Linked DNA regions of Lonchura striata. The protein of the gene in region 1 purifies or fractionates together with the protein of each later gene. This does not show direct contact. Links are inferred from orthologs where the notes say so. Each region holds a gene or a part of one and is shown on either strand. Other genes may lie near its edges. The genes, in order: SINHCAF, SAP30L, ARID4A and TNRC18.

Evidence for each region.
Region 2: the proteins of SINHCAF (region 1) and SAP30L purify together in Homo sapiens (affinity purification with mass spectrometry; 3 studies listed by BioGRID and IntAct, counting the BioPlex papers as one, with this or other methods). This does not show direct contact. The link is inferred for Lonchura striata from reciprocal best matches to the Homo sapiens genes SINHCAF and SAP30L.
Region 3: the proteins of SINHCAF (region 1) and ARID4A purify together in Homo sapiens (affinity purification with mass spectrometry; 3 studies listed by BioGRID and IntAct, counting the BioPlex papers as one, with this or other methods). This does not show direct contact. The link is inferred for Lonchura striata from reciprocal best matches to the Homo sapiens genes SINHCAF and ARID4A.
Region 4: the proteins of SINHCAF (region 1) and TNRC18 purify together in Homo sapiens (affinity purification with mass spectrometry; 3 studies listed by BioGRID and IntAct, counting the BioPlex papers as one, with this or other methods). This does not show direct contact. The link is inferred for Lonchura striata from reciprocal best matches to the Homo sapiens genes SINHCAF and TNRC18.

What each region holds. Positions count from the first base shown.
Region 1 is NC_134607.1:17,964,053-17,971,453, reverse strand, and holds the start of SINHCAF (SIN3-HDAC complex-associated factor), read right to left. Parts: upstream 3,012-7,401; 5' UTR 2,942-3,011; intron 1-2,941. UniProt on the Homo sapiens protein: Subunit of the Sin3 deacetylase complex (Sin3/HDAC), this subunit is important for the repression of genes encoding components of the TGF-beta signaling pathway.
Region 2 is NC_134617.1:5,247,896-5,254,799, forward strand, and holds the start of SAP30L (histone deacetylase complex subunit SAP30L), read right to left. Parts: upstream 3,003-6,904; 5' UTR 2,852-3,002; coding exon 2,666-2,851; intron 922-2,665; coding exon 799-921; intron 1-798.
Region 3 is NC_134608.1:4,704,369-4,711,265, forward strand, and holds the start of ARID4A (AT-rich interactive domain-containing protein 4A), read left to right. Parts: upstream 1-3,888; 5' UTR 3,889-3,986; intron 3,987-4,606; 5' UTR 4,607-4,662; coding exon 4,663-4,668; intron 4,669-5,863; coding exon 5,864-5,974; intron 5,975-6,897.
Region 4 is NC_134618.1:14,607,436-14,615,074, reverse strand, and holds the start of TNRC18 (trinucleotide repeat-containing gene 18 protein), read left to right. Parts: upstream 1-4,629; 5' UTR 4,630-4,685; coding exon 4,686-4,887; intron 4,888-7,639.

The DNA.
Region 1 (7,401 bases):
AAGTTTGTGCAATCTTTAATTTTAAAAAGCTGTCAACTACACAGCGGATCTGTCTGCCTGCGGGCTGGTGAGAAGGGGGTGCACACACCCTGCACACGGCTGCCAGGAGCAGCCTCAGCTTTGGAAGCAAGCACACAGCAGTAAAGGAGCTGGTGGAGGAGCCATCACCCTTACCGACTGCCTTATCCAAAGAGCGAAACACTTGTGTGCACGGCTGTCAGCCTGCTACCTTCCTAAGCGCCAAATTAAAACTCCAAGTAAAAAACAGCATCGCACTGCTGTTGCACTTGTGGGCTCAGTGCAGGACGCTGGCCCTGCTGCCGCTCCCCAGCCACGAGGGGACGGTGGCACGGCCCGGCCTCCAGCCCAGACACGTGTTCAGGGCACGGCAGCGGGCAGCATCCTGCATCAGCAGCCTGCAGCGGCTGCCGGCACAGCCACGGCGCCGGGAGGCAGCTCCCAAGATTTTTGCAATTGTAATGTTAATTGAATAATGTAGGTCCGAAGGACGGGCCATCAGTCAGGGGAAAAGGCTCTTTGTAGGATGAACCGAGGCCGTTCCCGCCAGGAAAGCATCGCTGGGGGTGGGGGGGCTCCGGGGCAGGAGGGATTCAGCCCTGTTCGCTGCGTACGGGGACAGCCCGAGTAAACAACAGGTTTGGCAGGTCCCTTTAAATCCCTTCAGCTACACACACCAGGACACAGGGGTAGGAGAGGAGACGGCAACTTTTACCTCACCAAAGTGAGAGCGCAACGGGGAGCGCTTTCATGGCTCAAGACTGCGACATTAAAACAAAACAAAAACCCGCCAAACCCTAAATAACAACGGTAAAAAACGCTTAAAAAGACAGAGCTCGGTCGCGCCGCTCCCGCAGGGCACCTCGTGGCTCCGGGCACGGCCCCGCTCCCCCGTTAGCGCCGGCGGCTGGAGCGGCGGCCGGGGCCGGGAACAAAGACCCCCCGGGGCACACGACCTACTTTCACGGGCGGCCCCGCCGGTCAGGTGGAGCCGCGGGAGCGCACACGCGGGTGGCCGCAGCACCCCCCCCGCGTGGGGCTGCCAAGCGCTCAAGTCGCCGAAAGACGAGTGAAATCAAAAATAAATTAGAAGAGCTCAGGAAGGGGAAGGCGGCGATCCAGGGAGGAAAGCCCCGAGCGCGGAGGTGGGCGCTGCGAGGCGGCCCCCGCGCTGCAAACGCCGCCCCACCACGCGGTCGCGGAGCAGCCGCCCCATCCGGCGCGGGGGGAGCGGCGAGAAGCGGGGATGGAGCCGCGGCCGCACCGCCGAGCACCCGGACCCCCGTTCCGGCGCAGCGACGACCGTGCCCCGCCGCCCCCCGCCCTTCCCCGCCCGCCCCGCGCCGGTTCCTCATGGCTCGGCCCTGACGTAATTCAAACATGGCAACAGTTTCACTTCAAAGGGCCGTCGCAGACCTCCCGGCAACGCGGGCACGCCGCGACGGGGGCGACGCGGACCCCCAGACCCGGGGGCAGCCCCGGGGCGGCCGCCCGGGCCTGCCCGCCCGCCGGCCGCAGAGCCGTGCGCGCAGCGCGGTTCCGTGCGGAGCGCGCCTGCATCCAAAGTTTCCCCGCCCCTCCAAACTCCTCCAAAATCGGCAGGCAGCCCCTAAAAAACACCGTCCCGCGCACGACAAGTGTTACCCCAGCGACACCCGCCAGCCCGGAGCCGAGCCCCCGCCGGGCGCGGAGGAGCGCTTTCCCCCGGCGCGCCGGGGAGCCGCGCCGCCCGCAGCACATGCGAGCCCTTTGTTTTCCCTGCAGCCGGGCGCTGCCTACGTGCCGCGCCGGGGGCACGCCGCCCGCCCCGCCGCCCGGCGCTGCGCAGCCCCCGGAGCCCCGAGTTAGAACTTGTTGGCGCCAGGCGCGGGCACACGCCGGCAGGAACGGGAGCCGCTTGCGCTGGCACCGAGCTACGGAGCGGCAGGACGCCATCGTCGCCGCTCCGTCCCCACGCCAGCAACGCCGCGCACCGGGCCGGGGGCAGGACGGGGAAGGCCCCACACCGCGACCGGTGCGACCGACAACACGTGTCCCGCCAGCCCACGGCCGCGCGTTTTGCTCCTCTGCAGCGTGCACGGACTCGGACTCCCGCGCAATTACTAATGATAACTGGAAACAATAAGAACTGCCCCACTCTCCCCACGTGAAACACGGGGAGAGAGGGATGGCGGGCACCAGCGTGTCCTCCTCTCCTCCGCCACGCCGCTGGCACCAACTCATGAGCGAGCGCTACAGGTGTGCGCTGCGGGGCGCGCCGGGGCCGCACCTGCGGCACCCGCTCCGCACCGGCGGGGCCACGCCACCCGCGTGGCGGGCCGGGGTAGCCACGGCCCGGGAAAGTTGCCCTGCAGCCCCCGTCATCGCCAAGCAGCCCGGTTTTCCAAACCCGCTCCGCACCTTGGGACTGCTTTCGGAGTTAAATTATGGGGATCTGGCTACTCTTTCCTCCTAAAGACTTGGAGATCTAATTGTACTTTGGGATTGGGGGGGATTGGGGGGGGGGGGGGGGGGGCGAAATCAGAGTTCTAGGGATGGGTCCGCAACAATGCGGGAGGCGCTCCTCTCCGCTCGCGCATCCTTTAAAACTCTACTAATCGAAGAAAAAAAACGGGCGAAACACCGCTCACAGAAGCCACACGCATGTCAAAGTGTTTCAAGGCGGCAAAGTCTTTTTGCCGCTGCAAAACTGGGAACAAGCTCCGAGGAGTGACTCGGAATGAACAGAAACCACCAGCTCGCGGAAAAAAAATAAATCCCAGCACCAAAAGAAGAATAATTAAATAAAAGGAAACCCACCACAAGCAAACAAAACAAGGGAAAAATAATAAAGACGCCCCGAAGAACGCGAAACAAGCAGCCACGAAACTCAGTTTGAGCCCGCCGCTCCCTCCCGCCCGGGAGAAAGGGAAGCATCACTCACCGCCGCGCTGCGCCCACCGACACCCGTGCGGTGCGCGGCGCTCCCGCCGCTGCGCGCGCTCCCCGTCTCCCCGCGCTCTGCCGCCGCGCGAGCCCGCGGGCCCGCGCCCCGCCCCACTCCCGCCCCTCGGCCGCTCTGCGCAGGCGCCGTTCCCACGGCTCCGTTCTCATCAATCGAGCCCCGCCGGCCGCGCGCGCCCCGTTGTCCTTTTAAGGCAGAAAGGGCCGCGCGGGAAGCGCGCGCGGGGGCGGCGCCCGCCCTGGCGGCGGAGGTGACTTCACGCGCGCGGCGCGCGCCCCCGCCCCGCACCTGCCTCGTGCCGCCCCGCCCGGCGCCGGAACGGCCCCCGCGGGACCGCCCCGCAAACACAGCCCCAACATCACCGCAACACGGCCCCAACATCACCGCAACACAGCCCAGCCCCGCAAACACAGCCCCAACATCACCGCAACACAGCCCAGCCCCGCAAACACAGCCCCAACATCACCGCAACACAGCCCAGCCCCGCAAACACAGCCCAGCCCCGCAAACACAGCCCCAACATCACCGCAACACAGCCCAGCCCCGCAAACACAGCCCCAACATCACCGCAACACAGCCCCAACATCACCGCAACACAGCCCAGCCCCGCAAACACAGCCCCAACATCACTGCAACACAGCCCAACCCTGCAAACACAGCCCCAACATCACCGCAACACAGCCCAAACATCACTGCAAACACAGCCCCAACATCACCGCAAACACAGCCCAAACATCACCGCAACACAGCCCAGCCCCGCAAACACAGCCCAAACATCACTGCAACACAGCCCAACCCTGCAAACACAGCCCCAACATCACCGCAACACAGCCCAGCCCCGCAAACACAGCCCCAACATCACAGCAACACAGCCCAGACCCGCAAACACAGCCCCAACATCACAGCAACACAGCCCAAACATCACCGCAACACAGCCCAGCCCCGCAAACACAGCCCCAAACATCACTGCAAACTCAGAGCACCGCCCCGTAAACACTGTCCCAAAACATCACCACAAACACAGCCCCAAACATCACCGCAAGCACAGCCACGAAAATCACCACAAACATAGCCCAGCCCCGCAAACACAGCCCCGAACATCGCCGCAAACACAGCCCCGCAACACGACCCTGCCACCCCCGGTGACACGCCGGTGACACGCCGGTGACACGCCGCCCCTCCCAGCGCGGCGCGTCCCATCCCCACCGCACCTAGCGGTGTTTGTGGCCATCGCTGCCTCTCCGCACCGAACCTCGCGGGGGGCGCGTCGCAGGGAACACGGAAAGAGTTTTTTTCCCGCTCCGGGTTAATTTTAACGTTCGTTTTCTAAAGTGCTTTAAAAGTCATCAGTGGCTTATGTAATTTTTCCTGCAGCGTCACAATGAGTGAATTAAAAAGTTGCGTCATCTCAGCCTTTGGGTTCAGGGTCTTTTGTGCAATTTTGGAAGAGCTGCTTCACGAGGCGGCTGGCAGGTTATGTTGAAATAGATTTTCTTTGAGAACTGTGTCAGACGAATTAGCATGTGATATACAAGGTAACACCTAAGGAGTTATGACTTAGCACCATTACAGCCCGTGACTGCAATAAAGCTGCGAGCTACTCCCTCCCAGGCTGCCACTCAAACCGAGCCCAAATAAGGATTCCCTTCTTTTGAACTACTTAAAAGTTTAAAAGTTCCCACAGAATCAACTGCAGTTCAGGCACCACATGCAGGTGTTGTTGAATACTCTAAAACACTGAAATAATGCCAATGAATATTTCTATAACAATTTTTTTTTCATTACAGTGACCGTTTCAGACTAATCCTGATTTAACAACTCACCAAGAACTTTTGCTGAAATTATCCTTTTGCTTCCAACAACTAGACTAGCTAAGCTCTGGGAATTTTCAGAGTTGGACAAGATACTTTTCCTTACCTTTGTCTGAGGATCTTACATCTTCTCTACTTGCTTGTAAATCCATGGTAATACTACCCCATCTCCTTCCTCAGTGCTGCCAATCCAATCACTTTGGGCACAAAGCACAGGAGAACACCACCCAAGGAACCCTCCAGGTTGTCATTTGAGTTTTGGGGGGCTCCTGTTGAATGATCAAAGAGTGCTGCATCTGCTACCAGGGCTTTCTTCCAGACACAGCTAAACCAAATAATATTCAACTTGTGAGCCACAGATGTATGTAATGTTGAATAATTTCTCCAAATATTTCTATAATTTTACTGCTTTTAACTGGTCTAGGAAACTCTACCAGCACTTAGCAAATTTTGTTTACATACAATGTGTTTGATTTCATCTGCCTCTTTCTTTTTGATTGGAAGAAGTGTTTCTCCCAGATTTTCTCATTTCTTTGTTCTAGCACACTTCTCAAGGCCGCTTGGTGACATTCCTTTTAGTCCAACACCATCTAGTATAGCATTTAAATCCCAAGTGACAATGAAATTACTTTTCCAAGGAGAATTCCCTAAGATATCAAGCAGAACCCAATGGAACAAAATGGATCTCTTGGCGCCAATCAATTGCTGCCCTCATTACCATCCTGCTGAGCATTCACAGAACATCTCAGGGTGGGCTTTGATTGCAAACAAACCAGGGTCAGGACAACTTCTCTGGTATTTATTTCACAACTTTGTGCCCTTCCACTCCAAATCTCGTGAGGACAGGTGTTGCTGTAACCTGGGGAGAATTTGAATTTCCAAATTTGGTGCTGATCAGCCTGTGAACAGGTCTGTCATTCCTGTCCTCTCAGAGGAAAAAAACACCCCTTCTATCCACAGAATTCCAAATGGCAACACAGAAATGAAAAACATGATCCAACATTCATTTCTGAAACATCTCTGGTTCCCCTGAAGTGTTTGCTGATGATATTTCAGGGCTATGCTGGTAACTCAACAGTGGTTTGAGTTTTCATTTTTGGCTGATAGCCAGCTTGCAAATAAATAAAAGGCACTCAAATACCTGATGATCATCACCAAGGTTTCCCTAGCCCCTTCCCTTCGAGCAAGCCATGTGTGCTCTCCACAGCATCAGAGGGACACCTTGTCTGACCTCACTGTTTGGAAAGAGGGTGATGAAAAATAACCTCCAACTTGGGACAAATCTGGGAAGTTTAATTTGGAAAATGTAGATATCTGAAACAATGCATGCATCCTTACACTACAGGTAAAGCCTTATTTCACAAGGTTCTGTTTTAAAAAATCAAGCATCTTCCTTTCCACTCAGAGCTTGCTATAAAGGAGGAATGTGGGATTTCACAGAGATCCCAGGTGACCTTGAATATGAGCTTTATGAGGATTTATCTTCATCCAGATCAGTTCTAAAAAACATTTACTTTAAGAGTGCATCTGGAAACTAATTGGACTGTTGCTGTGTTCCAGTTAAACTGGTACCTTCCCTGCCTGGACTCTTAATTATTTTATCTGGGAAGCTAAATTATATCAATAGTAATAATAATAAAGTGAACCATGAGGGCTTTTAAAACATAAATGTATCGATGATGAGGGAGAAGTGCTAACATAGAGAAAAAGTAGGGCATTTGCCAGACAAGACATCTGATCCCACTGTGCTATTTTTCAATATTAATGAATAAGTAAACACAAATAGGCTACTTGTTTTTAGGTGAAGAGCAGCTGTCAAGAAAAAACCCAGGCCACTGTTCCTGTTTCAAATTGTAAAATTCTTTTTTGTAACTTGAGTAATTTGAAAATTTACTTTCTTGGCTTAGTGATTGGCCAAAAGATTTTCAAAAAAATTACCAGGAGTTTTTTTAAGGGGGGGGGGGGGAAGTGCTGAAAGAGTTGTAAATAAGGTTTTGCCAAGGAGTACAATTTCAGAGCAAGATACCATCAACAAATGAGTTCTTTAGCTTCTGCTTTCACCAGTTACCCATGTAAGTAGCATCATGCTAATTTTTTGAAGGCACAAGTGCTCTAAAAACTGGTAGTTCTGAGCAAGCAGGTTAAAAAAGAAAAGGGATTTTCACCATTTTATGTTCTAGGCCAAATAACAGATGGCTACAAAAAATTACAGCAAAGTTTGATGATAATCAAAATTGATATTATGATATTCATGCTTCCAGAATGAAGTATTCAAGCTATGAGGCTCAGAGAGACAGGACCCTGAACTGGCTTACTCCAAGGAACAAGGCAGATCATTTATAGCCCAGCCTAAGAAATCCATTAGGGCTTAACAGAGAATAATAACCTTTCTGAAATGTTTTAAATTGACATTTCAAATTCCTTAAGAGGAAGATAATTCTCTTAAATTCTTACGGATTCCTCAAATTCTAGAGCAAAATGACCATTTTTTATTGCTGGTTAAACACCTTAAATGCAGCCTCTCAAGCACTGTTGGTTTCTTTGCAGCACTATTGCTTTCATACCTATTAAAGCCAGTAAGACTATTCTATGGGGATTTATATTAAGGCGATTTGAAGACACCATTAA
Region 2 (6,904 bases), on another chromosome or scaffold:
GGTGTGTGCACCAGCTTTGCACCAAGACACAGCTTTGCTGGCAAAATGAATCTGGGTGGCTTCTTTTTTTTTTTTTTTTTAATTTCAGAAATAAACAGCTTTTTGCCAATAGGGTTGGCAATTCCAGCAGAGGGCTCTGCTGACTGTGGCCATGCTCTGCTTCTCTGAACATCACCTCTGCACAACTTTTGCCATGTCAACAGTACCAGAAACATCACTGAAGCAAGCGCAGCGCAGTGGCACAGAGAAAGTTCTCTAGCACAGAAAACTTCCCCCAGGCCTATCTCCTGAAAATAAAAATGTGTCACAAACTATTTAAAGGTAGTTTTAAATAGTGCTAAAAAATACCATATATGCAAATATCTGGAGCAGCTCAATATCCATGGGTATCAAATACCCAATCAAAGAGAGTGACCTATTGAATTCTGTAGTGTATTTGCAAAATGATGCATACTCATTAATAAGGAATTATGTAGGGGCATGAGACACCATGAAAAATAACTTATTTTTAGCCTTAAAAAAATAGTATCAAATACAATTTTAACTGTACATACACTAAGCTGTGAAGTTACCTTATCACACCTCTTTTTATAGAAAACTTTACATGGGCAAAGAACTCATAGGGGAATGAAGAAAATTAGGACACCACACGTCAGAAAAATCTCTTCCTGGAAAAGTGAAAGTAACTCCACAGCAGCTTCAATGGCCTTGCAATTTAAAATATAACTATTTTTTGATGTATGAGAACATCTAAGTGAAACTTCAACATGCTAAGAACTGGTAAAGCAGCCCACAAACCTCTGGAACATCCGTGTCGTGCTCAGGAGAGTCACCTCCATCATCGCTCGTCTTCCTCTTCCTTTTGTTCCGAACACTTTGAATGAAGTTCTTGTGAAAATCACAGATATACAGATGCCTCACCTGAGAACCAGAAGTGGTGAAAAAGCAATCAAAAAAGATACGGTGAAACAGCATTCAACAGCAGCCACTTTGACACCAGTGTCAGGTGCATCTCTCAAGACTGGCGTGACCGACTGACATCAAGGAATTTCTAATCTTAAATCCAGCCCTGATATCACACTCTTTATTCAGAGATAACTTACCTTACAAAGGCTAAAAGTAAAGAAAACAAAGAACTCAAGCTTCAGCTGAATTGAACCTCTACAGATAATAAATTTGTTTTTTATGGCTGCAATCATCTGTCAGGAAAAAAGATGGGTGCTTGTCTGGAGGAAGTGCATTTATTTCAGGACTTACTAGCAGGTATCTACCAAAACATGTATTATTCTATTCAATTCTTGTGAACTTTCTGGCTTGAATAATACAGAGGATTATTAAGGCAAGTGTTTCAAAACCTTGACAAATAAAACTTGAGCTGATCACCTCAACTAAAACAAACAGACCAAATGCAGAATAGCCTCCTTCCTATTGCTTGTTCAGCAATGGAACCTCCCTTTTAACAAATATAATCTCACTAGAGTTAGCAAAACAAAGGACTTCAAATGATCAAAATTATTTGGTGTCTATAAGGCAAAGTATCTTCAGATAACACAGGCACCCTACATCCATGCAGCCTGCTTTACACTTTCCCTTTGTTCTGACTGTACTAGTCTGATTTCCCCTTTTTGTTTCTAAAGCCTGGCATCTGTCAACAGAGACTCATTTCTAAAATGCAAGAAATTACTACGCCACTAGACAAATCTGCTGAGAACTACAACTGGGAGAAATGCTCTAGTTTTCAAGAATACGTTTCAAACTGAGTCACTTTTCCCGTGACACGATGCATTTTGGCTGTGCAGAAGGGACCCAACCAACTGGGGGAGCTGCCAAACAGACTGACTCAAAACTTCACCTATTTTTTTTTTGCTTTTGCTTTGTTTTCAGTGGTTTTGATCTTTACAGATCAGGCGAAAAAAAAAAAGCGTGCAGAGCTGAATTCCGTTAACGAAGTCACTTCTGAGAAATTCCTTCTGTGATCTGCTCTTCTCTGCCGGGCAAATAACCCGTTTCTATCTGGAGCTGACAGCTGTCAGTGTCATTAGGCAGCAAACCGGGCTGCTCCGTGTGCGAACAGACCCTGCTGAAGAGGCAGCACAGCTCACTGCCAGCTCGGTCTCTAACCTGCTTCGCCACAACACCAATTCTTCGCAATTAAAGAAGTAACGTCAGTGCCGCCTGACTGAAGCAGCAACCACAGCGCTGTTTTCACCTGACAGCAGCAGCCTTTCCAAGCCGAGACCGCAACGGGAACAGCACTCCTGCCTCCCAAGCACGGACAGCTCGCTCCTTTGCCTCCCTGCACACACCCGCCTCCCCAGCACGGCGTTCGGGGCTTCAGCTACGTTATGCCTCAGCAGGCGGGCAGTGCCACAGGGAAAAGCCGGCTCTGCACGGGGGGAACGGCCGGGTGCAGCCAGGCACGTCCTTCCCTTTATCCCGAGCTAAGGATCCTCCCCGTTATCCCGAGCTGTAGCGCTGAGGATGGGCGAGCGCGGTCCGCAGCTCCGCGTGTGCCGCGCCCGGCCCCGCTCGCCCGGGAGCTCAGCTCGCCGGGCGGATCCGCGTCTCCCCGGAGGCACCGCAGTGCGGTGGCGCCCGCAGCCGGCCCGGCCGCCCCTCCGGGGGGCTCGGCAGCGCCCGCAGCCCCGGCCGAGGCCGCACTCACACTTTTGTCGATGTCCAGCTTCAGCTTCTTCTGCGAGATGCTCTTCTGGATTCTCTTGCTGAAGGACGCGTTGCCGGCGGGGCGCACGCAGCGGTCCCCGTCGTCGATGAGGCAGCAGCTCTGGCCGTAAAAGGGGGCGGGGGGCGGCCCATCCCGGCTGTCCTCCTCGGTGCTGAACCCATTCATCGCCCACCTGCCCGCCCCTCACCCCGCGCGGGGAGCCGACCACCGGGGGACCAACTGCGGGGACGGAGCCGCCGTCACTACCGCGCCCTCGGGGGGACCCCGCCGCCTCCGCGGGGGCCCCCCGCTACGGCAGGGGAGGGGACCCCCCCGCCGCCGCCGCCGCTCAGCGCTGCCCGCGGCTCGGGCCGGGCCGGGCCCCCCAAGCGCCGCCGCCCGCGGGGAGCCGGGACCGCGCAGCGCTCGCACACACAAAACCGCCTCCCCGGCCGCGGAAGTCCCGCCCCCGGCCCGCAGGCGCGCCTCTGATTGGGCCGCGCGGCTGGAGGGGCGGGGCGCCCCGCGCCGCTCCGAGCGCCGATTGGCCGGCGGAGCTGTCCGTCCGCCGCCGGCGCCCGGCCCCCGCAGCCGGAAGGTCGCGGTGAGGGGCGCGCGGAGGGAGCGGCGGCGCCCGGACCGTGAGGGGACGCGGCCGCTCCCGGCGCTGTCCGCGGCCGCTCCCGGCGCTGTCCGCGGCCGCCGCGCCGGTGCCGCCCGCAGGAGGCGGGCAGCGACCCGGCCCCGCCGGCTTCGGGCTTGCCCTGCTGCCGGGACGCGCACGGGACAGCCGCACGCAGCCGGGGCGCCGCAGCCGCACCTGCAGCGCTCCGGGGACAGACCTGAGCCCGCAGCAGGCCCGGGGCTGCGGCTCCCCCCGGCCCTCGTACCCGACCCGGGTCGGCACAGCCACAAATGCGTGCTCTTGGGTCAGCACCCCGGCTGGAGTTCCTGGCTGAAACGTAGTTTTTTATAAGAAATACAAGACTCTTTTTTAATTTTTTTTTTTTCTTCCCCTTATCACAAGGCAGCGACAGTGAAAAGATGGGACCTGGAGAAGTGTTTCTCAAAGCCATGTGACTTTAAACTTCGCATTTTTCATCTTCAGAAAAAAAAAAAAAAACAAACCTAAAAAGAACTCTGAAAAAAAAAAAGACAAAACCCCCACCCTAACCCCCAAATCTCCCCAAAAATAAAAAAGGGGAGAAAAAAGGAGGCGAAAAGTGGGGGCGGGGTGGGGTGGCGGTAAAAAAATTGAATTCTTGCTGATTTGTGAAGAAAAGATGAAACTTCTGGAAATGCTGTGACTTCTGTAATACCAGACAGCAAATGCTATTCTCAGAGGTTCCTGAGCAGCTCTGAAAGGAAAACGATTTCATCTTCCTGAAGAAAGGACTTTCTGCTCAGACAGAAGAAAGGTTCTGTAGACTAAAATGACTTCAAAGCCTTAAATCCTGCACATGGAACAATGTGCGTGAGCTGTGCTGAATCACACAAAATACCTTTGCAAGAAAGAGACTCCTTAAAGCCCTTGGCCATCAGCTCAGGCTCTCCATGCAGTAATACTGCCAACCAGCTCTGCACAAGATTGAGAAAAGCCAAAATCTGTATTTTCCAGGCACTCCTTACAATACCAAACAAGCCTCAGAATAGATTTAGAGGGCAGAGACTTCATACTCCTCAACAGTTCTGACTCTTGTCTTGGTTTTTACTGCGGGTGCCCTCGGGCAATATGTAATTTCTGTTTGTGCATGTGACCAGCGGAGAACCACAGTGCACCCTCCTGGGGACAGCGGCCGTTCTCACGGGAAGCTGGTGGAAACGAATGACTTTACCCACAGAGCAAACAAGCAGTTAGCAAAGAGCCAAGAGATCTAAAACAGTAAAACACTACGGCTTATAAAAGCCCCAGATCAAACTGATTGGAATCTGCCTGCCTGAAGTAATATCCTCCTGGCAAAGCCATAGAGATAGTCCCTTGTTTTGGGGAAAGGGAAAACACCAAGAGGCTGACAGAGATCTCAGAGCTGCTGATAACAACCTTTCTGGCTTTATCTTAACATTACCAATAAAAATCAAATGGCTGGCTGAGGAAATCTTGCAGGATTATCTTGACACTCTGGAAGCCAAACCCACAGACTGTAGGGGCAGATGATAATAACAGCAAGCAAGGAGATAAAAGGGAACAAGCAGAATTTTTTCCTGTCCCCTTGAGGAGATTGTGCAGGTGCTCCCTGACTGTATTCTGGGAAGAAACAGGCACCCTAAGTGTCAGAACAGGCTGGTACTGACCATCAGATTATATTTAGTCTTGGGCTGCAACCGCTCATCTCTGCAGCTAAAAAGGTTTTAAGTCCTTTTGCAGTGCTCACTATGAGGAAAAACAGCTTTTGTCACTGTCTGTTTGCTAATTCGATGCTAATTACCTCCTTCTCACGCAAACACGATGACACCTTTTTTTCAGTCTTAAAAAAAAAAAAATCACAACCCCAAAACAACGAATGGAGGTGTTTTTATAATTGCAGTTTATTTCAGCATATTTATCCTCATGGGAACCTCCAGATTTCACAGTCTGCTAGTCTGGAACAAGCTTTCTGCAAAATAAACTGCCTCATCGAGACATTCTTTATTAGGTATCTATCACTAACCTGATCCAATAATTCTTTGTGGGAGCTGCAATGAAGTGAGAAACAATGTTTCATAAACCCATCAGTACCCAGGCAGCTTTAGTACCTCTGAAGCAGTAATAGCCTGGCCATCCCAGTCAGCCTCTAATCAAATTAGGGGAGCCTGTGCAGGCCTGTAAATCTTACCTGGAGCACTACCCTCTGAAGAGAAGTCAGTGGTGTGACTGTCATCTGGAACTTAGTATTTTAATGGAGTCATTCAGGGGGCTCAGGACAGAAATACTTCTCTCCTCATGGTCTGTGCTGCTTGAGATGTCCTGGGAAGAAGGTTTTTTTAAACTTTTCATCATCAGAAATCAGACCATTTCCTTCTGCAGTACCTTGGGGAGGCCAATGAAAACACTGCTCTGGCACCTTCCCCCAGACTCCCACTCTCCTCAGCACTTTTCTAGGGTTGCACATATTGAACCTGCTAAAATGCTTAAACTGTCACAGCTTTTGGCACATACTTACCCTGGGCAATGTTCCCGTGGCCAAGAATCACAGCACAGTCTTCCCTGGGGATCATGCCTTGCTGGTCCCCCAGAAAAGCTCCTTTTCCCACACACAGATTTTCACACATTTCATTCTTTGTCTCTCATCCATTTCCCCCCCAGTGTTCTTCACCCAATGGAGCTGAGTAAATAGGAGTATTGAGAAGGCCACTGAAGAAATGAAGTGGTGACAGTAGGAAGCGCTGAGGGTCCTAGTGGGAACATGAGCAATGCTGATACACTTCTCTCATCTTGGGCTGAGCCTGCTCTCCCCACCTGGAGATCAGAACACAAACAACCCATGAGCTGTTACAGCCCACCCCTGCAAACCAAGGGGTGGGGATGATCTCCCAGCAGTCACTCCCAAGGCCAGCAGGCAGAGAAAGAAGAGTCACAGCTGGGTTTTCTCCATTCCTCTGGGCTCCCCAGTGTGCCCTGCCAAGGCCAGTCCACCCCAGGGGTGTCCTACCTGGGCACAAGTCGTCCACTACAGTTGTGGTTCCTTAAGGATTGCACCACTGGGCATGGAGTGACAGGACACCTGTGCTGTGGAAACACCACACCAGGGCAGCTGAGTTTATTCTCACAAGTAGAAGAGAAACCAATCACTGGAGCAAAACAGGCGGGGACAGTCACGTCTGCGTACACAGTTTTCAGAAAACACATTAAAAATTTATTTTAAATATATTATAAAAGGAAGTCCATTCAACTTTAAAAACACTAGGCATTCTATCAATGATTCCCAATTTATGAAAGCTACTACATTAAAGTGCTACAAGTCCTTTACCACCCCCAGATATTAGGCTGTTGCTCCTAATACGCACAAAATAAATACACACTGATTCAAGAGGCACCATCCAGTTTTACAGAGAAATGCATGCAGTACAAGGTACAGACAAACTTAGACCTAATCACTGAGATCCTAGAGAATGCATTTTGAAACCAATTCCCTTCTCCACCCTAGAGGCTAAAGCTATTTGTTGCTGTTATTGTGAGGGCTAATGTTTCAGGCTGTTAGCTTGATCAGTTTTTATCTTGTTTTGTGGTTGAAGTTCACATTTGTTTGCTCAATACCAGGG
Region 3 (6,897 bases), on another chromosome or scaffold:
CCAGAGCTGGGGAAAACGTAAGTAAGCATTTAACAGGTTTCATTCAAGTTTCTTGATGAAAAACTTGGTTTTATTCCCTTCTCTCACACACATAATTATAAAAATGAAGGAACTTAATGCTGATAGTTTAACAGTGCAGCACAATTTTCTCTGTGACCAAGAAAGGTTTGATCTTCCATTTTTATAATCTAACTATTACCGGCTGAAGGTTTTTGCTGTCAACTTCACATTTATTGGGATTTTTTCTCTTTGTGCCTGCACTTCATAGCTTGTTGCCATGCTCTTCTGAGCAGTTTGCAATCATTTAGATAATAAAGCTTTGTGACCTTAATTTGTACAGAAATACTGCAGTTCCACATAGACAGAGGATCTGCAGAAGTGTTGCCTATTTAACTACAGAAACACCAAAAGGAAGAACATTAAAAAAAGAACAATGGAAGCAGAAATAAAAGCTAAGTCTCCTGAAGAACTGCAAAGTATGACAGAGTAGCACTTTGCTTCACTACATAGAAAGAAGCTCAGTGTTAAACTAAGATCCAATATTTTTAATGTTTCTACAGTATTTTGGCTGCAATTGTATGTGTATTCTGAGTTCTTTTATCTATAAAAAAATCCAGTATGTCAAGAGCAGTATGTGATTACTGAACAGAATAAAACCATCTCACTTATCCCAGAAATCTTCTTTAGCTGTGATCTGAAGGAAGCCACGTGATACATCAACAGTTACTTGTTCTGCTGTTCTTATAAAGAGAACTATAAGATACAGACATTCCTAAATTTGCTTTTTCTTATCAAGTGCTATATGTATGGAAGACTTTGGGCAAGATTTCTGGGATAAGTATATTCTGCAACTAATACACCAAACACATTTTCAAGTGCTTAAGTGTATTATTTTTACTAATTTACTTACAGCCATCACTTAGAATTCCAGGTGACCAATGATCAGTGTTGTCCTTCTGCCTTAATGCTTTTAACTGTTTTTAAATTAAGAAGTCTTTAATTTGCTCAAATGCATCTCCCCAGGCAAATCTCCCATGCTGCACCCACAAGACCTTTGGTACTAACGAAGTACAGATAACCAAGTACTGCTGCTCTGAACAATGATCTAAAAAATGAAATGTTTCTATCTCACAGCATGTCTGTTTACAGAGAGATTAGATCATAAAAGGACTTACTGTGATTGTCCCACTCTAGAGCTTCTCAGCTGTTAACTCTGTGCAGTTAACACACCAGGCCATGATAAAAAGGCTCACCAAATTGACCTTCTCTGCTCATTTCTTCCACTCATTCCCAGTTTTCCTGTAAGGGTTTGCACAGGGGGATGGGGCACAGTGCAAAGATCCAGTACAGCCAGGATGGCTCCAAGTTTCAGAGCTGCTTAACATTTAGGATGAAAAATGGCAGTACCATGGAGTAACTCTTGAGTCCTGAAGTTCCTATTCCAATGAAAAGATATTTAAACCAAAATTAGACTTTTTTTCCTGCCTTGCCAAAAGCACAGTGTTCTCATTCCATGACACTAGACATCATCCTTAATCTGTGTGAGGACATTTGTGCTGTGCTGAGCTGCCCACTGGGCATTCTTACGATATTTAAAACACCATAAAAGAATAAGTCACCGCTCCTGCTCACTGGCTAAACAGAAATAAAGTCCTTTTGCTTGGTGGGGGACGTGCCATGAGCCTCCTAATTGTGCTGGCTGTAACTGAGACATCCACAGTGGCAGAAATTTTATTCTAGAAATCAGAAACAAGACTGATTAGTTCCATCACAAACTGTTATTTATTGAATGGTTCTACACTCAGTAAAGAGATACAAACCATGCCTCAGGAAAGCTCACAATCCAAGCCAGGATTTCCCAACACATTCCACAGAGAAATCAGAAGTTCACATTCAAATGGAATTTTGGAAGTTTTGTTAACATTTAGGTTAGACATAACATATTCTAAGTCATAGAATCAGAGAATGGTTTGGGTTGGAAAGAGCCTTAAAAACATCATCTAATTCCAACCCCGCTGCCATGGGCAGGGACATCTCCCACTGTCCCAAGGTGCTCCAGGCTGTGTCCAACCTGGCCTTTGACACTTCTAAGGACCCAGGGGCAGCCACAGCTGCTCTGGGCACCCTGTGCCAGGGCCCCACACCCTCACAGGCAGGAATTTCTTCCTCATATGGAAGCTCAACCTGCTCTCAGTCAGTGCAAAGCCATTCCCCCTGTCCTGTCACTCCATGCCCTTGTCCAAAGTCCCTCGCAGGTCTCTTGTAGGTTCCCTCAGATACTCTCCAGTTTATTCCTGAATAGAATCAAAGCTCCCTCAACACTAAATGCCTCAACCTTTAGACTTTCTGTAGAGATCTTCCTTCAACCATCTTGATATTTATAAGCCAGATCCAAACACCAAAATTCCAGACCTTTCCTCCATGTCTTGCCTTGCCTGCAGTCAATTCCAAACAAGTCTCGAGTGCTTTGTGCCTTATTAAACCTTCAGTGCTTACCTGCACCACACACCTCTGCTCACTGAACTCCCTAAAGGACTCTCCCATTACCTGCCACTTTCCAAAGCATCAGATTTAATTAAAAAAATAAATAAATACAAAGGCCACATTCAAAGCAGAACTTACATGGGAACTATACCTAAATTAACCATATATTTCTGTCAAATTAACATAATGCTTCCCCGCTGTTGCTTTAGCTAACCCTGAGAGATACCTTGGAGCTCACAGTGAGCAGTGCCAAATAGTTGCTATTGGAATATAAACTACGGATCTGTTATTTCAGAGTAAAAAATATGCATCTATATTACCATAAGCCACAGAATAAATTCTGTATAACATGCCAAAATGTGAAACGAAATTTAAAACATTTAGTTTTATCACAGGCTTCCACCTATAACTCCTACTTAATAAAGTCAAAGCTCCTCTTTAAGATCCAACTCTCTCAAATGAGTCCGGCAGGTGCGGGTATCCCGCCTCTTAAGGCCGCACCTCCCGGACCAGACACGGTAACACCCCCACACATCTCCCAAAAAAAGCCCTCAGCCTCCTCCGCGCTGCTCATCCCTGTCCGGGCTACCCTTCCTGCAGAGGGAAGCGTGGGGAAGCGCCCGAGCAGCCGGAGCCGGCCGCGCTCCCTCCCCACACGCCTCACGGGCACGATGGAGGGCGGCGGAGCCGCGCCCTCCCCCGCGGGAAGGCGGCGCGGGCCGGCAGCCCCTACCTGCACCCCGGGCGTGTCTCTGCGGGGCGCTCGGGCCGCCCCGCCGGCTCCGCGCCCTCACGGCGGGCGGTCCCGGCGCCTCCATGGCGGCCGCTCCACTTCCGCCTCCGGCCGGGCCCGCTCCTGCGCCGGCGCCGCCTCAAGCGCGGCCGCCACCAAGACGCAGCGACGGGATCATACAGCCGGGAAGAGACGCGGTGCCGCCTCAGCGGACCTCAGGATGAGCCTCCCGGCCGTTCCTTCCGCCGATCCCACGGCAGCTCCCGCTCCTCCCTCTCCCCGCGGCCTAAAATGGGAAAGAGCCGCGCACAAAATGGCGCCGGCGACGCCGCGGCCGCCGCGCCTGCGCGCCGCGCGCGCCGGCCCCGCCCCCACCGCCACCGTTCCGCCCCCCGGCCCGTCCTTCCCCCTCCCTCCCGCCCGTCCCGCCACGAGCCAATCACATCGCGCCGTTGCCCTTCCGGTCCCCGCCGCTCGCCAATCCCGTGCGGCCGGGGCCGCGCCGCGACCCAATGGGGGTGCTGTCCGCGGCGGCCCAATGCGCGCGGGGCGTCGGAGCGGCGGCCAATGGGAGCGGCCCCGCTCCCGCCGCTTGTTTATTGGGGCTCGCGCTGCGGCGCGGGGCGGGTCCGCGCGCGGAGCGGGGGGGGCGGGGGGCGGGAGAGAAGAGCGGGGGGGGCGGAGCGGGGGCCGCGCTCAGCCGGGGCCGCCGCCGCCGTCTGCGGAGGGGCCCGGGCGGCGCGGGGGCTGCGGAACGAGGAGTTCGCAGGTAGGAAGGGACGCGCGAGGAGGAGGAGGGAGAGAAGGAGGAAGAGGCGGCGGTGGCCGTGGAGTTGCTGCTGCCGCGCCGCCGTCCCGGGGGAGGGGACGCGAAGCGGCTCCGGGAGCTGCGCTTTAAAACACCCCCCCCCCCCCCCCTTCCCTCCGCTCCCCCTCCCCCGCCCTGTGGGAGCGCACGGGCGCGCGCGCCGCCCCCCTCACGGAGCGGGACCCTCGGGACCGGGACCCCCCAACTCTGTCCCGGTATCCCCGGGATCGGCCCCCGCGCTCCCTGGGCCGGGGGGCTGCGGCGCTGCCCCGGGGCGGCGGCGGGAGGCACAAGTCCGGGAGGTGAAGGAGGAGGAGGAGGAGGGGGCCCGGCGGGGCCGCGGAAAGTTGAGGCGGCTGGGGGGGCGGCGGCCCCTGAGCCCCGCGGAGCAAATGGCGACGTGACACACACCGAGCGCGGGGCCGCCCGGCGGGAAGCGGCGGCCGCGCTCCCTCGGCGCGGCCGGGACGGGCGGCGGCTCCTTCCCTCCGTCCCTCCCTCCGCCTTCCCCGGGCTCCCCCGCCGCCCCTCGCGGCGAGCCCCGCGCTCAGCCCTCAGCCTCCCCCGCTCTTGTTTTGCAGTGTTGCCCGTGCGAGGAGAAGTCCTGGAGCTGGAATCGCTCACATAACCCTTAAAGATGAAGGTAGGCGGCTCCGGCGGGAGCGGGGATCGCCGCCCTGTTCGCCCGCCGCTCTGGAGATTTCATTTTTAATCGCTCTCCGCCCGGGCACGGCAGCAGTGGGAGAGCGCGGGGTTCGGTGCGTGCTGTGAGTGCTGTTCCTGCTCCCCGGCGAGGTGCAGGTGATTTAAAGCTCTCGCCGCCGTGCAGGAGCGCTCGGAACATCCTCATCGCCTCTGAGTTGTTGTTGTCCTTCGGGCTCCCGTCTTTAAACGCTTCCTGTATCAGCAGCTGCTATGGCAAGTTTGCAAAACCACAGCTTTTGTCCCGCCTTTGCTGTTGCCGGTTTGCTCAGTACAAAGGCTCAACAATTGCAGTATAATTTACAAAACTTTTCCTTTTCCCTTCAGAGTTGAATGAAATAATTAAGTTATTAAAAAAACCCCATACATATCCCGTTTTATTTTAGATTCTGCACCCATTTCCTGTATTTCCAGTGTTGTTATTTTGTCCTTGTTTATCAGCTGCAATAAGCACGGTAAATGAAATGCTGAGTATTAAAGTCCAGGTTAAGGAAAACGTGATGAATATTTTTCTTTGAAAATGCACTGGCAATTAAATGTTAATAAAGGCATTCCAGGAAAGAAAAATAATTGTTAATAACTGTTTAAAAGATTGCAACAGATTTCTCTAGAGGTCTCCTTTTAGTCACCAGGAAAGAAATCCTGTAAATAGAATGTTTCAGACTTAATTGTAAGTTGGGATGACACCAATCTCAAATGTTTTAAATAATCTGTGTCTTTGGATAGCTTATTGCTGAAAAAATACAGCTGTCTATTGCCTTTTTGCAGTTGCAATGTTTTCCTTTTGCACAGAACCTACTTGAATTTATAGTTGCTCCTTCACTTTGTTGCCCTTTTTATAAGCAGCTCTCCTAAGTATCAATGAATACCCTCAGAAACATTTCTGGGAGAGTCTTGACAATGATTTGACAGGAGGTGTGTGTCAACATCAGTGACAAACCAAAACTTCCTGTAACTTGTTTGTTAGGTTTTTTTTTTTTCCTTTTGAAGAACTCTGCAATGGCAATCTCAAGGACAGACAATTTATTAATTAAAAATACAACAGATCTAAAAGGTGTGAAATGAAATACATCCTGATGCAGTTGTAACAATAAGTAAGAGCTAAAGTTTGATTTTGTGTTTTTGTTCCCCTCCAGGCAGCAGATGAGCCTGCCTACCTGACAGTGGGGACTGATGTCAGTGCCAAGTACCGTGGTGCCTTCTGCGAGGCAAAGATTAAGACGGTGAAAAGGCTTGTGAAAGTCAAGGTGAGAGTGCTGAGGCTGATGCTGGTTTTGGTAAAGCATTGTGCTGAAAGGGCTGTCACAGGAGATCCTACTCCTGAAGATTAGAAAACCTTCATCACTTCACTGTATGAATTTTAAACAGCACTTAAATGTGGTTTTTTTCATATTTTGTTGTTTAGTTTAGGATGAGATTTTTTTTTTTGCTTCATTCTGGGGGGAAATGTTGTTTTTTTTATTTTATTTTTTAGTGGGGTGCTGGAACAAAAATGAGCTTTCTTGCTTCTTTTTTCCTGACTGCATTTGTCTTCTGTTTTCAAATGCATCAGTTTCCCAGCAATAAGTTTTCATGTCACAAATACAGGATTATGGCTTTACATGAATAATAAGGAATAAGATCATCCTCTTCAGAAGCAAAAGTTCCATTTCATACTGACTGACACTCTCACTTTTACGGTTTGGAACTGAAAAGGCAATGCAAAAACAAGTCAACAGCAAGAGAGATGGCAATAATTTGTTTCTTAGGCCAGGTTTTAGGCATGCCTAGGGTAATATTTAAGTTTTGAGCATCTTGATGCAGCTTCTAAAGCAGCATGCCCTGGCTGTAGCTGAATTTCTCTGCATGGATAGTATTGGAACATAATTTTCATTCACCTTTACAGGACTTCTGGAAAAACAACCAAAAGAGAAAGTTGTCATTTTGGTGTTGTAATACTGTTGTAAATGCCACTATGTGAGAATAAGAATAAAACATTGTTAAATGCAAGTTAAAATTGAAAGTAAATACAGAAGTTGTTCTTCTTTGTTTTGTCAAAGTCTTCCCACTTCCTACTTCAGTGCCTGCTGTCCAAGATATGTAAATAAGTATCAGTGACCCAAAATCCCCAAGAAATTGAGGTGAAAGCTGCTTTTTGTAACTATATATCCAAGTTTTTGTGTGCTTTAAG
Region 4 (7,639 bases), on another chromosome or scaffold:
TTAAATATAGCTCCAAAAACACCCTGAAAACGTGTAGTAAGCACGTTAAAAACAGCGGGCGGGAAGGATGCACAGCACCCCCCCCCAGCTAAGGATGGGGAGCACGGGATGGGGGGGGTTTATTGTGGGGGGAAAAAAGGGGATTTTGGGGGTCCCAGCAGATGGGGATGGGGGTCCGGCAGCAGGGCCTGTGCCCAGTCTGTGAGTTGAAGTCAAGAGCTGGGTTGGCAATGAAGGGGTGAGTGTCCCCACCCCCCCCACACACCTTGGCAGCCCCCCAAAACGGAGGAGATGTGTTGGGGGTGGAGGGCATCGCTTTGCTTTGCCTCCCACGTCTCCAGAGAGCCTCCCCCAGCTCCCCCCACTCCCAAATTCCTCCTTCCCGTCCTACCTGCATCCCGGGAGCGGGGGGCAGTGCCCGGTGTGGGGCTGGGGGCTGCACCGCTCCGCTGCCTCCTGCCCGCTGCCCTCCGCCTCCGCGGGCACCGGGACGGGGGCGGCCACCGGGAATTTCGGGTTCGCCCGGGGAGGGGAGAGAAGGGAAGAATGGGAAAAAAGAAGGAAAAAAACCCAAACCAAACCGAACCAGGAAGAAACGCCAAAACAAAACAAAATGGAGAATAAATAGCTGGGGGACGGGGAAGGGGAAGAAGGGGAAAGAAAAGAAAATTAAGGAAAAAGCAGAAGGGAAGAGATGGAGGGAGCGGAGCCGGGCGGGAGGGGGGTGCGGGGGGGACGGGGGCGGCCCGGGGGCGGGCGGCACCGTGGGAACTTGCCGGGAGCCCGGGGCACCGGGATCGGGATGGGAATGGGATCGGGATGGCAATGGGAATGGGAATGGGATCGGGATGGGAACGGGAACGGGAACGGGAATGGGAATGGGGGGGGCCACAACACCGTGCGGCTGCTCGCGGGACAACCCACCCCACCGCCCCCCCCTTCCCCGCCCCGATGTTATTTTTAATAAAAATAGGTATTTTTGGAGAAAGCGCTGCTTGCGGAAAAGCTTTGGCGCGGGGGGGAAATTGTGGGAGCGGCCGCCATCCCCCCCAAATTTTACGGGGAGCTCGCAGCCCCCCCATTGCGGTGTTGCGGGGGATCAGTGGGGGAAATAATAGGGAGAAAACAAGCGGGGCTGAGATTCCATGTGGAAAACAGCGGGGAAACAGCACCGCGCCGGAGAGGGGAGAATAATCGCAACAATAACAATAACAATAATAATTAGAAAAACGCGTATATTAGGTCGGAAGTACTTTTTTTTTTCACTCTTTTTTTTTTTGAGGGTGTTTTGCAGCAGCGATGCCCCAGCCAGGAGCTGCTGTACAAGATGGCTCCCGGCCGGGGGAAGGGGAGGAGGAGGAGGAGGAGGAGGAGGAAGGGCTGGAGTTGCAGGCAGGGGGGGCCGATCCCCCCCGCCCCGCCCGAACCTGCTTTTTCTATTTTTTATTATCATTTCCCTGATTTATGATATGCCAACCCCCCGGCCCGGGGACAGCGGCGGGGAGGTCCGGGCGTGAAGGCATTAAACATTTATAAAATACGCTTTTAAAGCCACATAAAAGCGATCAAACCATTATTTTTTTTTTTCCTTCTCCCCCTCTCACCCCCAATTCCCCCGGTTTCTTTTTGGTTTTTTTTTTGGTTTACTAAAGGAGACTGGGAAAAGAAGCGCCCTCCCCTTGGAGGCAGCGGGGTTTGAGCCCTCGCCTCTGACGCAGTTTTGCTCTTAAATATAAATAAAAACATAAATATATATTATTGTTATTTATTATGATTATTTTCGCGTTAAACCAGGGCCTTGAGCAGCGTGAGAGCTTTTCGACAAACTCGATTTTGCTTGGAATGTTTAAAAATGAGCAGATTTTTGGGGCTGTTTCTCTTCTTTTCTGGCCGATGTCCCGGTGGGTTCCTCGAAACTCCTGTCCGGGCGGTTGGGGGGGGGACGCTTTATTATTATTACTTTTAATTTATACCGGATTAAATTAGATTGTATTTTCCTTCCTCTCCTTTTTCGTTATAAAAGCCGATTTTTGTTTGATTAAGTAAAGAAGCGGGAAAAGAGCGGGGGGGTTTGGCAGCCGTGAGGTGTTCCCCCCCACTTCTCCCAGGGGAAGAAGTGGGGAAAGGGAAAAACACATCAAAAATTGGGGGGGGGGGGAGAAAAATAAATTAAAAATAGAAAGGAAAAGAAAAAAATGGAAAGAAAAGTAGAAGTTAGTGTGGCAGTGCAGGGGGGGCCGCCCCACTCACAATCCAGAGGGGGGGAATGTGTCAATGTCTCCTCCCCCAGCGTCCCTTTTCACCCTATTTTTGAATTTTTTGGGAGGCGGGGCCCTCAGGGAGGGCAGGGGACCCTCCCCCGCTCCCCCCCGGCCCTGAAAGGCCGCTTTGTCCGCGGCGGGGCCGTGGGAGAGGGCCCGGCGGCACTTCCCCCTCAGCCCTGCCCGGGCGGGATGAAGGATTTAACCCCACAGATAATGGAGGGGGTCGCGGGGCGCTCCCCCCTCACGGCCCCGCTCGGAGCGGGGACCCGCGGCCGCTCCCGCCAACCGCCCGCCCGCTCCGGGCGGCAGCGCGGGGGCGGCCTGGAAACAGCAGCGGGAGCGCCGGGGGCGGGGCGAGCGGGGGGCCTGGAAACAGCCGCCTGTTTACCCGCCGCTGAGTGACAGCCCGGCCGACCAATGGGAAGGCGCAGAGCAGCCGCGGGCCCGCCCCCGCCGCGCCGAGAACAATGCGTGTTTCATAGCCCCGCCGCCGCCGTTTTTCCCTCCCCCATTCCCCCGTTTTTTCCCTCCCTCCCTCCCGCCCCGCGCTCGCGCTCCCCTTTTTTTTTTTTTTAATAATTTTTTTTTCCCTCCCTAATTTTTTTTTTTATTCCTCTCTCTCTCTTTTTTTTTTTTCTTTTTTTTTTTTTTTTTTCCCTCCTCTTCCCTTAAGCGCCGCCGAGCCGCGCGCGCGGGGCCGGCCCGGGAAGGGGGGGGGGGTTGTGGAGGCGATGCTGCAGCTCGGCGGGGCCCCGCCGCTCCATGGCGCGGCCGCCACCGCGTCGCTCCCGCGCTGCTGCCCCTGAGGAGCGGAGCGGAGCAGCGGAGGAGCCGGGCGGCGGGCAGGGCGGCGAGCCGGCACCCCCCGCCCCAGCCCCGCACCGCCGCCATGCCCCGCGACCAGGCGGCCTGACCGCGCCGAGGTAGGACCCGCACCCGGATCCGCACCCCGAGCCCGGGGCGGCGGTCCCATCTCCCCCCACCCCCGACCCTTCTCTTCCGCCGCATCCTCCCGCTTTTTCCCCCTTTTTAGCTTTTTTCCCCCATTATTGATTACTTTCCAGCCGGGATCCGGCCGCTCCCGCAGCCCTCGGGGTGCGGCTCGCCCCGAGCAGCCACGCAGGCAGGCTTTAATTAATTTTAGAATCCACTCGAAAATAATTTTTTAAAACCCCCAACAAAGCAAAGCAGTGAGATTTTTTTGGGGGTAGAATTTTGTGATTTAGCATTTCTCTCTTCTTTATTTCTTTTTTTCCTTTGTTTTAGTTTTTTTTTTTTTTTTTTTTTTAATCATTCCTCCCCCGCGCTGGAGCACCCGCCCGGGAGCCGGGACGGGCGGCGGGGCCGGAGCGGCGGCTCCCGGGGCTCCGGTAGCGCTTGGAGAGGGTTTGAGGGGGAGAACCTCCACTTTATCCACGCATTGTTTGTTACTTCTCGCTATACAAAATACAGCGGGCGAGTGGAGCCTTTCATCAGGCTGCGAGTACAAATATAGATAGTTTTATGTATACGGTTGGGTTGGTTTTTTTTGGTTTTTTTAAGCTGTGCCGGGAAACGTTAATACGGGTTTTGTTTTCCCGAGTGAAAGTGGCGCTGCAGAAAGGAAAAATAAAAAACCCCAACCTAAACAACAAGCCCAGTCGGTGGTTTGGAGCCGTGGGAATGAGCTCCAAAAGAAGCGAGAAACTCGGCTGCCGGAGAGATGCCGCCGCCGGAGCCGGCGGCGGGGGAGAAATAAAGAAAAGAGGGGGAAAATAAAAAAAAAAAATTAAAGAACTAAAAAAAAAAAAGGTGGGGAAAGAAAGGAAAAGAAGAAATATTTGGGTGGGTTTTTTTTTTTTGTTGTTGTTGTTATTTTGGGATTTGTGTGTTTGTTTTCCGGGGCGAAGTGCGGTGCCGCGTCCCCGCCGGTCGGTCCCGGGTTGCGGGCGGGCGCTGCCCTGCCCGGCCGGGGCTGCGGCCGTGACAAATGTAACTCTTAGGGACAAAAGTTTAAATTCTTAAAATATTATTTTTAAGTACTTAGTTTTTTTTTTTCTGCCTGCCTTTTGCCACAAGTTTTCCTTAGATTTTTTTTTTTTTCTCCCCGCTTTTTCCCCCTTTTCTATCCTCCACTCCGGGAAGATTGAGGGTGGGTTTTGGGGGGTATTTTTGGGGGTGGCTGTGAGCAGGGGGGTGTCGGGGCATGTCGGCTCACCGCACCTCCCCCTTCTTTTCTCCTTCGCAGGCAGCGCCGAGACCGCCGCGCCGGGGCTGGCTCCCTGCACCGCGCCATGGGACGCTTGGACGCCTTATTTTTGAAAACCATCTGATTTTTTGGGGGAGGAGGAGAAGGGGGGTGGGGGGCGGGGGGGGGGGCGGGAAGGCGGTGGTGGCGGGCATCGACAGCGATCCGGGAGACTCCGTGAAGCCGGCGAGTGGATGATGGATGGCCGAGATTTCGGGCCCCCCCGCTCGGTGCACGGCCCCCCTCCGCTGCTCTCCGGGCTGGCCATGGAGAGCCACCGCCTGGGAGCCACGGGCCGCCTGGCCCCCGCCGCCGGGCCCATGGCTGCCGGGCTCCCCGCCGCCCTCCAGCCCGGAAAATTCCTCGCGTCGGGCATCAGCCTCCACTCCCACCCGGGTAAGGCTCCGCGGAACCCCCCGCGCCTTCCCTGCCTTCCCTCCGCGGGCGGCGAACCCGGGATCGGGCTTTAACCCCCCCCCCCCACCGCCCCAAAATATAAATACCGTCAGGATAATTATACATTTATGTGCTCGCAGCTTTTTCGCGTGTTTTCCCTCCCAAGTGTTTTCTGCTTCGCGTGGTTTTGATTTGGCGAAAAAAATTAGGGGAATGGGGAAGAAGTACGAAAACAAATAGGGTGACGGTGGAGAAATAAGAGAATGGAGTAAAAAATAAGGGAATAGGGGAAAAAATCGCGCCTATCCGATAGAAGTCCCCCCTTCCAGCGTACGGTTTTGTTGGCACTGAGGAAAATCCCCTCCGCGGCGGCTGCGGGATAAATCCGGGGAATAAATCCGATTTTCGGGAAAGCTGGGAGAGGCGCAGACAGGATTGCGGAGGGACGGGACTGCGCTGCCCGGCGCTGCGCTCCCGGACAGCCAAAAAAAACCATCCCTGGGCTGGGAAAAAGGGGTAAAATGGGGCTCTTTCGGTGATTTCTTGCCCGGTGCAGCCCGAGTCCCGCTGAGGTCCCGCTGCCCCCGGGTAGCGCTGCCGGCACCGCTGGTTTTGATGCTGTTTTTTCTTTTCTTTTATTTTTTAATTTTTTTTTCCCTTCAAAATTCTTATTTTTTAAACTCGCGAACAAAGCTTCCATGCAAGTGTGCAGTGACTGCTCCTTCCTTGAATTTTTTCCCTCTTCTCGACGCACTTCATCCTTAGGGTCCCCACGGCTGTATATCCATTAAAAAAAACCCAAAAAAACCAACAAAAAACTAGACGCTGAAATATACGCAGTTTATTTTTTTTTCCCACAGTCAGCTTTTTATTTATTTGTTTAAATTACTTTATTTTTTTTGAGGATTTTCATTTTTTTCCCCTTTTCCGAGCTCCATTTCTCAGCGGCTCGCAGAGTCCGGCACTGCTGGGAGGACGCTGCCGCTCTCTCCTGCCCACAGTCCTGTAGGAGGACACAAGGGATTTCTGACCGTTTGATTTCCCTCTCTGGCTCTATTTTTAATTTTTTTTTTCCGCTCTCTTTCCCCTGGGCGTGGAGAGGTGACTCGGAGTTTACTTTAGGCGTTGGGAGGGTGACAGGTTTTGCAATAATAAACCTGCTTTTCTCCCAGCCGCCCGGGATGAATGACTTTGAAATTTGCAAACCTGATTGCCAACATCTGCAGAGAAGGAAGCAGCCTGAATCGAGGGAAAAAGATTTATTAGTTTTAGACTAGGTGGCAGTGCCAATTTCCCAGGTGCTAAGAGGAGAGGTGTAAAGCGAACGGGGCTATGAAGCCAAGCACATGGGCAAACACCTTATTTTTTCCTTCCCTTTTGTCTTTTTTTTCCCTCCCTTTTTTCCCCCCCTGGTTATTTTTTTTCCTCTCTCTTCCACCTCCTACTGCAGCTGAATGTGATCTTAGCAAAAATGCATCTGGACAATCTCAGGCCAAACAGAGTGTGGGTTCTTGGAAATTTTAAAAATTACTCTTATTTTTCACTGGGTAATTTTTTTTAAAGTTTTATTTCTCCTCCCAAGGTTTCCTTTTCTGAAATCCAGGCAGGTCAGGAGGGAGGCACAGAGCTCTGGCCTCTCCAAGCTGACCAAGCTCAGTGATGCCGTCTGGGAGCTTTCCTACCACACTGGGAGAAAGCCTCAGATTTGAGTCCCCTCACAGAGGGAGTGGAGTGTGTTATACTTCCAATTCTTTTTTACTGTGTTCTTATTTTATTTTTAAAGTTATTTTTATTTTCCTCTTTCTGGGAGTTATTTGAAATGCCTGTCCCTGCACCTCAGTGGTGCCCGGTCTCCCCATCCGCTCCCCGGCACGATCCTCGCAAAGCTCAGCTTTGTCACGGCAATTCCAAGTCAGGCTAAACTCCATTAAAAGGATCTGTACAATTAACAGCCGAAACTCCCATTAAACCGCAGCAGTGGGATAGGCAGGGATATTTTTTTTGTTGTTGTTTTTTTACGGCTTTAACAATATCGCCTGAAATGATGATTGCTTCCTGCTACCAAGGCACCCTTTGTAGCTTTTCGTTTGCAGTGCTGTTGGTGTGTGGTTTTGGTGTTTTTTTTTTCCTTGTTGTTGTGTTTTTTTAGGGGTTTGTTTTGTTTTTAGGAGGGGTGGAATGCAAAGGCTTGTGCAAGGGGTTAAGAAAAGTGGGCAGGAGGCAAAGCCTTTAAATAGAGCCAGTTCAAACCGATCCGTAAATACCGCCGGGCTGAAGAAAGAGACTCTTGAATCCGTCCCAGCGTCCTCTGAAAATAAATACGCCCCTGTAAAAATAGCACTATTGGCCATATTTGAGAATCCAGTTATGGCCGGCACCGACTCCTTGTTTTTCCCGTACCTTCTGCTCATTCCGGCAGCCGGGCTCTGCCCCAGCGCCAGAGTACGGGCGCCTGGGCTGTGTCCAGTGACCCCTGGACCCTCGGCTCCTCTCGGGGGGATTTCTGCTCCATGGTAGCGATTTCTGCTCCACGGGGGGAGGACAGGGACAGAAGCCCCTTTGTTGGAAGCGCAAGGAGGGAGGAGTGAGCTGGAGGCCAAGGCGGGAGCTGAGCCGGGGATGCCATTCCCTGTCCCCCCTGTACTCTTGGGCATTGCCATCTCCCCATCCCCGAGGAGGGGAGCGGGGTGCTCCCCCCATGGGCCTTGCAGAGGGATAAAGGAGGGAAGGGACTGTTTGCAATGGAATTTCA